Macaca fascicularis: one gene and its partners. The protein of the gene in region 2 interacts with the protein of the main gene of each other region in a pairwise test. Links are inferred from orthologs where the notes say so. Each region holds a gene or a part of one and is shown on either strand. Other genes may lie near its edges. The genes, in order: RNF144A, UBE2L6 and RNF125.

What was found.
Region 1: the proteins of UBE2L6 (region 2) and RNF144A interact in a two-hybrid assay, tested with the Homo sapiens proteins (2 studies listed by BioGRID and IntAct). The link is inferred for Macaca fascicularis from reciprocal best matches to the Homo sapiens genes UBE2L6 and RNF144A.
Region 3: the proteins of UBE2L6 (region 2) and RNF125 interact in a two-hybrid assay, tested with the Homo sapiens proteins (3 studies listed by BioGRID and IntAct). The link is inferred for Macaca fascicularis from reciprocal best matches to the Homo sapiens genes UBE2L6 and RNF125.

The regions. Positions count from the first base shown.
Region 1 is NC_088387.1:115,097,436-115,101,083, reverse strand, and holds part of RNF144A (E3 ubiquitin-protein ligase RNF144A), read left to right. Parts: intron 1-3,162; coding exon 3,163-3,370; intron 3,371-3,648. UniProt on the Homo sapiens protein: E3 ubiquitin-protein ligase which accepts ubiquitin from E2 ubiquitin-conjugating enzymes UBE2L3 and UBE2L6 in the form of a thioester and then directly transfers the ubiquitin to targeted substrates.
Region 2 is NC_088388.1:16,061,087-16,064,734, reverse strand, and holds part of UBE2L6 (ubiquitin/ISG15-conjugating enzyme E2 L6), read right to left. Parts: intron 2,910-3,648; coding exon 2,723-2,909; intron 789-2,722; coding exon 637-788; 3' UTR 1-636. UniProt on the Homo sapiens protein: Catalyzes the covalent attachment of ubiquitin or ISG15 to other proteins. Functions in the E6/E6-AP-induced ubiquitination of p53/TP53. Promotes ubiquitination and subsequent proteasomal degradation of FLT3.
Region 3 is NC_088392.1:57,852,156-57,855,817, reverse strand, and holds the start of RNF125 (E3 ubiquitin-protein ligase RNF125), read left to right. Parts: upstream 1-857; 5' UTR 858-896; coding exon 897-1,060; intron 1,061-3,662. UniProt on the Homo sapiens protein: E3 ubiquitin-protein ligase that mediates ubiquitination and subsequent proteasomal degradation of target proteins, such as RIGI, MAVS/IPS1, IFIH1/MDA5, JAK1 and p53/TP53.

The DNA of each region.
Region 1 (3,648 bases), on a different chromosome or scaffold from region 2:
TGTTTTTTTAAAACAAAGTAAAGCTCAGAGAGATTAAATAATACAACGGGTTATCCACCTGTAATCAGGCCCGACTAGAGCCAACACCTGAAAATGTTACCATCTCACAGTAGGATCAAACCCAGCATTCCAGCCCCACGCCAGGCAGCAGCCCGGCTGGGCAGGGTAGTAACTGCAGGGATGAGAGGGGATGCTGGGTGCACTGTCATCTGTCATGTGCTTCTGAAAGGAAACTGTTTTAAAAGGAAAGTCACCTTTTTAAAAAGTCTTAGGCGTTTTTAAGCAGGGAGTTCTTAGAGACCCGCTTCATTAATCTGCTATAAATACACCTCTGGGAGATAAGAATTAACATTAGTTTCCTCTAGTGTGCCAAAAATATATTATTTGCTCTGTTTGAAAATATGTCTCATACACTACACACGTATGTAGTACGTGTTGGGGAGGATAATGGGGAGGATAATGCAGAATGTTAATAGACATCTACACCTGAGCCTGGGGCCGTGTTCACAGGATGTGACGTGCCGTGGCAGCACAGGAAGCACGTTTGCAGTCAGCAGTCTGAGCAGCCATTTGTCCCTGACCTTTTCGATGAGGAATCTGTCCGTATGAGGACAGGCAGTGCCAAGTCACAGCTCTGTGAGGACAAAACTAATAAGATTTAAATCGTTCCCATGGAAACCTTAGCCAGGTCTCCCCTGCATGCTGTCCTGGGGGGCCTTTCGTGATGGGGGTGCATAATAGCATCTCCCACTCTTGAGCCAGTAGGCTGGGCAGGAGGCGGTGCATGACCATCACGTGCATGAAGAGACCGAGACCCAGCTTTGGGACATCTGCTCCTTGCTGATGTCAGAAGCTCCTCACCGCACAGGAGGGGTAGGGACAACAGTGGGACGGAAGGGTCCCTGGCAGGCAGCACTGCCCTTCTGGGTCTAGCCCCAGAGCTATATGGGAGGAGAGCAAAGAGTGAGCGAGGATTTCTCTTCGCGCGCAGTGTATTGTTCAGTGCACAGAGCACTTGCATCCTCCTGCAGGGCTGGGCAGACACGGGCCTCCTATCTCATCAGGGACAACGCTGGGCTCACCCCACAGCATGCACAGACGGCAGGCAGCGAGGTGTTGGAGGCATCGCAGGTACGGGATGGGAGCGTGACCCAGGCCAGCTGCCTTTAGCCTTTGGCGTTTCCTCCTCACTGCTCAGTGTGGCGCTCGGTGCCCCAGGCCGGCACGTGCAGCCCCTCCTTGCTTTGCTGTGGACCCTCAGCTCAGGGGAGCGCCAGGCATCTGCCCCCACACAGGTGACCCACAGACAACAACTACATTTTCTCAAAAAGCCACTTGTCAGAACTGACAGCTAGGAGCATTCTTAGGAAAGCAAATGCAGAAACTATCCACAAGTAAGAGAAGAGCTAAATGTGTCCATTCACTCAATGTGAGGAGCACCCTGGGGATTTTAGATTATTCTAATGAAGATAATTAGAGTAGAGCACCTGTTCCTGACCTCCAGTGTTCCTCATTATTATCAAGTTCTTCTTAATTTTCTACCACCCCTAACATTCGGACGGTTTTTGTGCTGTTGATTAATTCACGCTTTAAAAAAAAGGCAGGGGGCAGCCAGATGAGATCAAGGGTCAGCCTGCCATGGCCAGTGGGCCAGATCCAGTCCGGCCAGTGGCCTGCTGCTGTCAAGTTTTGCTAGAACATTCATTTCCAGGTCACTGTGTCTGCTTTTGTGCTGCAACAGCAAAAACCCAGTAGTTACTGCAGAAACCCAGAAACAACTTGGTCCTCGACTTCTATGATGACTATCCGACCCTCTACAGAGGAAGTTTGCCAGCCCCTGGATTAGATGACTAGATTAGTTTAAAGCTAGACCCTACACAAGATGGTTTCTAGAGCGCTGAATCTGGCTTCCCCGTGTACTGGGGGAACATGTAAACACACAGAGCCTTACACGTACATATGCGTGTGCACCGTCAGGACACCCAGCTGGTGATTTGTCATTCATTTGCTGCTGGTCCCGTGGCAATGCGTGTAGGTGAAGTCCTGGTCCACGTGTGGTGCCAGCCTGTTGTGGATTCCAGTGAGAGGAATCCCATGTGTGATGCAGGTGAGCGGGAGCTGCCCGGCTGCCAGTCACAGGGCCCGGACATTGGCAAGGACTTGTCATCGCCTTTCAAGTCGTCTCTGAAACTCAGTTGTCCCGACAGACGACGACTTCCCAAGAAGAGCCCCGCTGAAAACTTAGAAACCAGTGGCCCACCAGAACGCCTTTGGAAATAGCCCACATTGCACTGGCCTCGGAGAGCTTTCTGGCGGAGCCTGCCTTCTCCCCGGGGTGGCCCCTCATCGAGAATTCGGCGTCATGCCGGACAAGAGGGAAGATTAAATGAACAACCAGTCTCCTTACAAAGGGCAGCCAGTAATTTAAAGAAATGTAATTTTTGGACAAGGATGTGAAGAAATAGATGTGTCAAGGTGTCCTGTTTTTAGAAATAAGCTTCTTGGCCAATTCCATAAGATTGGGCTCTTAGAAATGTGCGCTGTGATTCGGAGAGAAAATCTGGCCCTTGAAGGGTTGGTTTCACTCCGTAGTTAACTCATGGCTTGGATTTGAGAAGGGGAGGCCATCTTAGGCAGGTGAACTATTTGGTTAGAAGAATAATCCAGCCATCTTCTTCCCTCTTCCTTTCCGTCTTCTAACAGCGTTTTCCTGGTGCTGGGTGTGTGCCCAACACGGGCCATCAGGGGCCCGGCTTCAGAAAGCTGTCCCCTACGGGAGGCAGATGAGCTAGCACGATGTGCGTTGCTCAGAGAAACCTGACAGGCAGGTGGGACAAGCTTTCCAGAATGTGGAGGCCTTTGAGCTGTGAGCTGAGTCCCAGAGGCAAGCAGGGCTGACCCAGGGCTCCAAGGGCATTCCAGGGACAGGAGCAGCATTCCTGAGGGATGCCTGGGGTGTCTGGAGGTCTGTTGCATGAAGGGAGAGGTTGGGAGGTGGAGGTGGAAGGGTGACTTGGGCAGTGCTTCGGTTGGGGCTGGTGGTTCTGGCTGTATTACCTGGATGTGTTTCTCTCTGTCCGTGCACTGAGGGGCTCCTTCCTCTGAAGCCCACATGACCCTCTGGCTTAAGTTTGATTTGCCCATTTTGTCTCCCTATACCAGAGGTGCTGTTTGATCCCTGTCGGACTTGGTGCCCAGCGTCCACCTGCCAGGCTGTGTGTCAGCTCCAGGACGTGGGGCTGCAGACCCCCCAGCCAGTGCAGTGCAAAGCCTGCCATATGGAATTCTGTTCCACCTGCAAAGCCAGCTGGCACCCTGGCCAGGGCTGCCCGGAGACCATGCCGATCACCTTCCTTCCCGGGGAGACCAGGTACCCTTTGTACACACTCTGCCACAAAGGCGTGGGCTGTGGGCCAGGAGAAGCAGGCAGGCATGTTTCTTCCTAAAAGTGCCGTTACAGTGTAAGTGGCTGTGGCTCAGTCAACCCTAACACACACTGTACCTCTTGAGCCTCACTCAAGCCTGTCATTATTTGTATGTCTATTTATTTTTGAGAACTGTGTACCAGGCACTGTGTGAGACCCTGGAAAGGGAAAGGTGTGTGAGAACCACACTTAACACGGCTCGGCTAGAATGATAAATGCATGC
Region 2 (3,648 bases):
GATGCTGGAGGACACACACTTCACAGTCTGAGGCCTGGTCCCAGGAACTGGCAATCTAACAGGATGGCAAGTGGTTTTGAAACATACAGATTTTCAGGATGGAAGTCTGATTTTTCAGATTGTGACTCATCCGTGGAAAATAAACGGTTTAGCACCTAAATCTGTAGATTCCCATCAGTGGCTTTGCTGACTCAGGTGTAAATAGGGTACCCTCCATATGTCTCCCACCCATACGCTCCACTGTCCCCAGGCCCTCAGTGCCTGAGCCCTAGGGGGATTCGAGTTGGCTGCTGGGCTCATTTCCTGCAAGCGGGCCGGCGAGATGACCTGTCTCTCTAAGATGGAGAGCTGGAGAACTGGCCTGTAACTCTGCAAACTTAAACTCCCTTGGCTCTGGGGGATGCAAAGGCTGTGGGAAGGGTGTACCTGTGGCCAGGTGAACCCGGGAGTGAGTCCACACACAACACACACACTCACAGCTCCCTTCCCTCTACCCCACACACACAAACGAATGACTAACAACCTAAGAAAGAAAAAATGAGTGGGGAATGGGCCATAGGGGGCTCTGGCCTCAGTCCATGAGGTGTGTCCATCCACCATGCCAAGGATCCAGTGCACAGAGGGTCAGAACATGAGTTAGGAGGGCCGGTCCACTCCATATTGGAGGGTGAACTCTTCAGCATTCTTTCTGAACAGCTCCGGATTCTCTGTCAGCAGGTCAGCGAGGTCCACCCGCAGGGGCTCCCTGATATTCGGTCTATTCACCAGCACATTCAGGGCCTCCAGGACTGGGGAGAGACAGGCCAGGACATCAGGGCAGAGGGAAGGGGGTCACGGCTGCCCACTCCCAATGCCTTGACACTCCACACCCACTCCTTGGAGGAAAGGTTCCATCTCTTAGGCTGACTCTATGACCGGATCAAACACCCCGCTCATTCTTGGTTGGTGACACCCAAGACCTTGACTGATGACATCAGTGGTTTTCAAACAACTACATTCCATGGCTTCAGAGAAGCTCTTCATCATGGGAGCCACTGAAATAAGTGAGGTTTCTGGGTCTTATCCCCATTTCAACAGAAACTACTCTGTTTTCCTCCATTATATTGATAGTCCAAATAAACTTTTCCTTGGGCAAAAGGGGTCTAAGGCTAAAGACTGAAAACCACCATGGCCCCCTGGCTCTTCATCTTTCACAGATGCCTTTGGGAACCTGGTGAAGGTAGCAGCCCATCTCCTGAGACAGACGCACACTCCACGTGCAAAACAGATAGTTCCCAGACCCCTTGAAGCTCATCCAAGGACCACTCCTCTCCCTGCTCCCACTCCCACCAAGCAAAGGACTTTTGTTTCCTGAGTTAAAAACTCCTGAGGTGGTCCAGGTAGAGGATTGCACACTGACTCAGTCACAGGCTCTACAGCTGCATTGTTCAATATGGTAACCATTAGCCACAGGCAGGCATCTAAATTTAAATGAATCAAAATCAGGCTGGGCACGGTGGCTCACACCTGTGATCCCAGCACTTTGGGAGGCCAAGATGGGTGGATGGCTTGAACTCATGAGTTTGAGACCAGCCTGGGCAACATAGCAAAACCTGGTCTCTACAAAACATACAAAAATGAGCCAGGTGTAGTGGCATGCTCCTGTAGTCCCAGTTACTCGGGAGGCTGAGGTGGGAGGATGGCTTGAGCCCAGGAGGTAGAGGTTGCAGTGAGCCAAGATCGCACCATTGAACTAACTGCCTGGGCAATAGAGACAGACCGTGTCTCAAAAGAAAAGAAAAAAAAAATTAAAATTAAGTACCATTAAGAATTGAGTTCCAGCCAGGCGCAGTGACTCACACCTGTAATCCCAGCACTCTGGGAGGCCAAGATAGGCGGATCGCCTGAGGTCAGGAGTTCGAGACCAGCCTGGCTAACATGACAAAATCCCTCTCTACTAAAAACACAAAATTAGCTGGATGTGGTGGCACACACCTGTAATTCCAGCTACTCGAGAAGCTGAGGCCAGAGAATCGCCTGAACCTGGGAGGCAGAGGTTGCAATGAGCCGAGATCGCACCACTGCACCCCGGCCTAGGCGACAGAGCGAGACTCCGTCTTAAAAAAGGAAAAGAACTGAGTTCCTCAGTTGCAACAGTCACATGTGGCTCGCGACTCAGCCAAGTGCTGCCGTTTGCCATCTGTATGACCTTAGGCAACCACTTCGCCTCTCACATGCCTCAAATGTCCGGGTCTATTCAACAAGGCTAACGACAACACTACCTCACGGGGTGGTGGAGGAAATGAAAATGAAGTCCGCATGTGATGTTCTCAGCACAGCGCTGAAAGTGCTCAGTCAAGTGACAGCTGTTCTCATTATGAGGCCAGTTCCCTCCACTGTCATTTAGGACACCGAGTCCCAGAAAGGAACGAAAACTTGCCCAAAGTCCACAGAGGGAACAGCGGGCTTTCTTATCCCGAGCCCTTCCCTGTACAGCCAGGCTGCCTCTCTCGTGAACCACAGCAATGTTCCTCTGTCACAACTGCCCAGGTACAGGAACAGAGGCAGGAGAGGTCAGTCTGTCCAGGAAGCATCCCTTCTATCTCACAGTAAGTTCAGCCAAGACTCACAATTTTCACCTCCTCTCTTCGGGGCTTTTCAAGCTCAGAATAAGTCTGTGAAACCCCCTTCCAGTAATCTCTACCCAGTATCAGTCCCTCCTCCGGGCAAAGCCCAGCCCCACCTTGGCAAGTCTTGGTGCAAGGCTTCCAGTTCTCACTGCTGATGATGGGCAGGCAAACATGTCCGCTCTCGTCCACGTTGGGGTGGTAGATCTTGGTTGTGAATTTGATCATGGGAGGCCTGAACGGATACTCAGGCGGGAAGCTGATGCACAGGTTGAAGGCTTTGAGGTGGTAGGGAGGTTGGTCCTGTGCAGAGAGAAAAGGGGTCAAGCTCCGGTCTGGTTTTCTTCCCTTCCTGCCCCCATCCCAGGGTCCTAGGCATCCTCTGCTTCACTCCCAGGGGGACACATGAGCCAGGATACGCACAGCACCTGCATTCATTTGACAACTGAGTCATGGATTAGTGAAAATGTGAAATCACCAAAGGGCACTGGCCTGGGAGGCAGAGAAGTCTGATCCAGGCTTTTGCTGTGTGACCACGGTTGAGCCACTTCCCACCTCTAGGCCTCAGTTTCCTCATTTGTAAAGTGGATAAAGATGGACTAGATGAGCTCTAAGGACCATCTCAGCTTTCATGGATTTCTGAGATTATGGAAGAAAAGGATGGAACATCCTTTCTTAGAACATTAGAATGGGGGTGAGGAAATGGAGAAAATGAGGAAATCCTAAGAACTCAGGAACTCAGGAAAATACAAAGGTGCAGCTGCAGTGGAAAACAGTATGGCCATTTCTCCAAAGATTAGACACTGAATTACCATATGATCCAGCAGTTCTACTTCTGGGTAGATACCCAAAGAACTGAAAACAAACAGGTATTTGTATACCAATGTTTCTAGCAGCCAAAAGGTGAAAGCAAACCAAGTGGATCAATCAACAAAACGTGGCATATACACACAATGGAGTATTATTTAGCCTTAAAAGGAAAGAAATTCTGATATATGCTACAATCTGGATGAACCTTGAAGACACTATGCTCAGGGAAATA
Region 3 (3,662 bases), on a different chromosome or scaffold from region 2:
TGGGCACGAAATAAGTCTTCGAAAAAAGTGTGAATTAACGCCCGGCTAATTTTTGCATTGTTAGCAGAGACGGGGTTTCATCATGTTGGCCAGGCTGGTCTCGAACTCCTGACCTCAAGCGATCCACCTGCCTCGGCCTACCCAAAGTGTTGGAATTACAGGCGTGAGCCACCGCGCCCGGCTGATCACATTTAAAGGGCGGGATGGGGAGAGTACAAACAACAGAGGAAATCCTGAGCCGCAGAGGAAACTGGAGACGGCAGGGTTTAGCACTAGAATATCTGTAAGAGAGGTAGGATTGGAATCTGAATCTCCAGAACTCTTTCCACTACCCAGGCTCTCTCTCCATTAATGGACTATTGATTGGACGACAGAGTAATGATAGCACCGTCTTAGGAGACGTCCAATCATAGGTCATAGTTCAATGCAGCTTATTGTGATTACAACAGTGGAGGATGGTCCTTACAAGCGGCTGTTCTCTGATTACCATTAAGCATGGCCACGCCCGCACTTAACTTCTGACAGTGGGGAAAGAGGCTGTGTGTGACAGCTTGGAAGGTTTACTACTGCCTCAAGTCCTCTTCTCTGCAGTTGAGGTTTCAGGTTTCAATCCTCCCAATACCACAAGACAAAGCACCTGGCGGCTGCCGCCTCCGCCTCCGCGCCTTAACCTAGGCGGTTTGCCGAAGATTTCAGCCCCGCGGCCGCGCACTCGCCCTGCCCTAGACCAGGGTTGGGCGCATCGGCGGAGGTTGCTTCTTGGCTGCGCGAGCTGCGCGCGCTGGGAGGCGGCGATCGCAGCTGGGCCGGGACTTCCTTCCTCCACCGCACGACAACAAAACAACCCTGCAGCAGGCACTGAGTGCTTGGCAGCTGTCTGGGCGAGAGGCACAGCGATGGGCTCCGTGCTGAGCAGCGACAGCGGCAAATCGGCTCCCCCCTCTGCCACCCCGCGGGCCCTGGAGCGCAGGGGGGACCCGGAGTTGCCCGTCACGTCCTTCGATTGCGCCGTGTGCCTTGAGGTGTTACACCAGCCTGTCCGGACCCGCTGTGGCCACGTGTAAGTGCCAGGGGAGCTCGGTTTGGGCCCACCCCTAAGGAGGGCGATGTCGGGAAGCTGAGGGCATGGTGTGGGGAAGGAGGGGGACGGAAGACAGCGCCTTAGGAAACTGCTGCAGAGAGAAACCTGGACCCGTCGGGTGCGGGGCCACGGGGAAAACGCCGGTCGGAAGGTGACACAGGATTTCGGGAGGAGAAAAAAGAAACAATCGGGCCCTGCAGCCCCCTTGCGCTGCCTCCTCCCGAAGTCCAGGTGCGGAGCTCCAGAGAAGGGGATCCAGGCACGGGTCCCGCCCAGAGCCAGGGCTCGCCAACAGGGGAGGGTGCTCTTGGCTGGAGAACGAGCGCTCGCCCGGGCACGAAAAAGAAACGAGCTCCAACTGCAAGGCAGGGGCTCCCTCAAAGCGCAGGTACCCCGCTGAACACGGTGGAACAGGCTGCGCTTCCCTCTGCCCCAGAAACTCGGGTCCGTTTTGTTTTGCTGGAGCTGTGCACGTGTTCCCAGAATGCCCACAGAGGCTCGTCTTAAGCAAACAAGGATCTGTGCAAAGTGTTTTTTCCACCCCCACCCCTGCTACCCTTTCCCAACACAGACACCCATCCCCTCAAAGAGCAAGTCAAACTGGAGCTTCCGAGTGACTTTCCACAAGTCGTTAGAGTTTAACAACCTGCTAGGGTGGGGCTTGGACGTTAGCCGCAAGCCCCTGAATGTACTCCTCCAAAACCCAGCCACAACGTGACAGGAGGTGACAGACTACCTGCTTTACACGCCGTCTCTCCAAACCGGCAGAAATTACAGAGTAAAATAACTTTCTCAAAACGGCATAGTACTTAGCTAAAACTCACAGTTGGTGCAAAGCCGTGGTCGTTTCTAAGAAGAGTTTAAAAACAAAGTTCCTATATAAAATTGGCACATGCTTAATGTGTGCTTGAGTAACTGGTGAAGTTGGATCTGTGAATTCGTGCTGTTTACTTTGTGTGTGTGTGTGTGTGTGTGTGTGTGTGTATGAGAGAGAGAGAGAGAGAGAGAGATAGTCTGACTCTGTCGCCCAGGCTGGAGTGCGGTGGCGGTGGCAGGATCTCGGCTTACTGCAACCTCCACCCACTGCAACCTCTGTCTCCCCGCCTCAAGTGATCCTCCTGCCTCAGCCTCCCGAGTTGCTGGGATTACAGGCGCCCACGACCACACCCTACTAGTTTTTGAATTTTGAGTAGAGATGGGGTTTCACCATGTTGGCCAGGCTGGTCTTGAACTCCTGACCTCAATTGATCCACCCACCTCGGCCTCCCAAAGTGTTGGGATTAAAGGTGTGAGACACTGCACCCAGCCTTCTCTCTTTGGTTTGAATTTTGTTCGTGGATGTGTGTGTGTGTGTGTGTCTGCACGGATCAGAAGCGGAAGCCTACTTAATGTCCTTTGAAGGGTGACTATAGTATGATGAAGCCCTGTGTGATACCACAGTGGCATGTACTTGTATTTGGCTTAGCAGGAAGAAAGAAATGCATTTGGCTTAGCAGGAAGAAAGAAATAGCATTATTGCTTCTGAGGATCACTTTTGAAAGGATTTAGGTAGTCCTTAAAAACATGTTGTGCACTTGCATTCAGAAGTTTTGAGGCCGGGCATGGTGGCTCACACCTGGAATCCTTAGGTGATCCTTAATACCTATAGCCTTGTATCTGAAAAGCAGTTTTCACCACTGCCCAACCTGTGAGCCAGGGAAAAAAGTGTGCAGCCTGCACAATGTATAAATAAAGAGTGCTTTGGGCATTATTTCGTAGCTGTATTTTCGAGGCCTGTTGTTTCAGCTTTGTTCTTAAAACTCGAGGCTTAAATTTACCCTCCTTTCTGATTACTAATGTTGCTCAGCTGTCCAGATGTAGCTCATTAACGTAATATCCACAGGCCAATCTGGAAGCCAAGATGGGCTGTGTGAGTCATAAAATATATTGATTATTTTAGGGCAATAACAGCCTAAAGATACCTCCATTGAAATTGAATCATTATTAGCCTTAAAACTTTGAAGTTGTGCAAAACATAAACAGTGGGCATTTTGAAGATTCTTTTTGGAATAGACCGCTTTGCTGCTAATTCAATTATCTGACTGGAGATTGTTTTCCTGTTTTGGACTTTGAATAGTATAACTTACCATTTACAATATTTTTCCTTCTACTAAAGGATAATGTAAGTTTGCAAAATGTTCAATTTTTTGTTTAATCTTTTTCTTTGTTAAAGTGAATAGGAAACTAGCAACTGGAAAAATAACCATAAAATAGCATTACAAGGGCTGAACAAATTGCCTTTCCTCTCTTTACTGTTCTTTGTTTTGACAAATCTATGTCCATTGTTCTAGCTGTGGGCAGAATTTCCATATTCCTCCTTTTGGCAAACTTACTTGGGCCCCTTCCACTTTATAAATGTTAACCAGAGTCTTTTCTGCTGTAGAGATTATGAGCGTTGTTAATGCCATTTGTACATTCTAAATGAATTACTCTTTTCCATTGAAATTAAGTTGGAAAATGAATAAATGCAAATGAACCTTCTGTATTTTATTATCCCATATTGAAGCTACAGTTTCAGACATATTGAACTAGGTGGTTTATG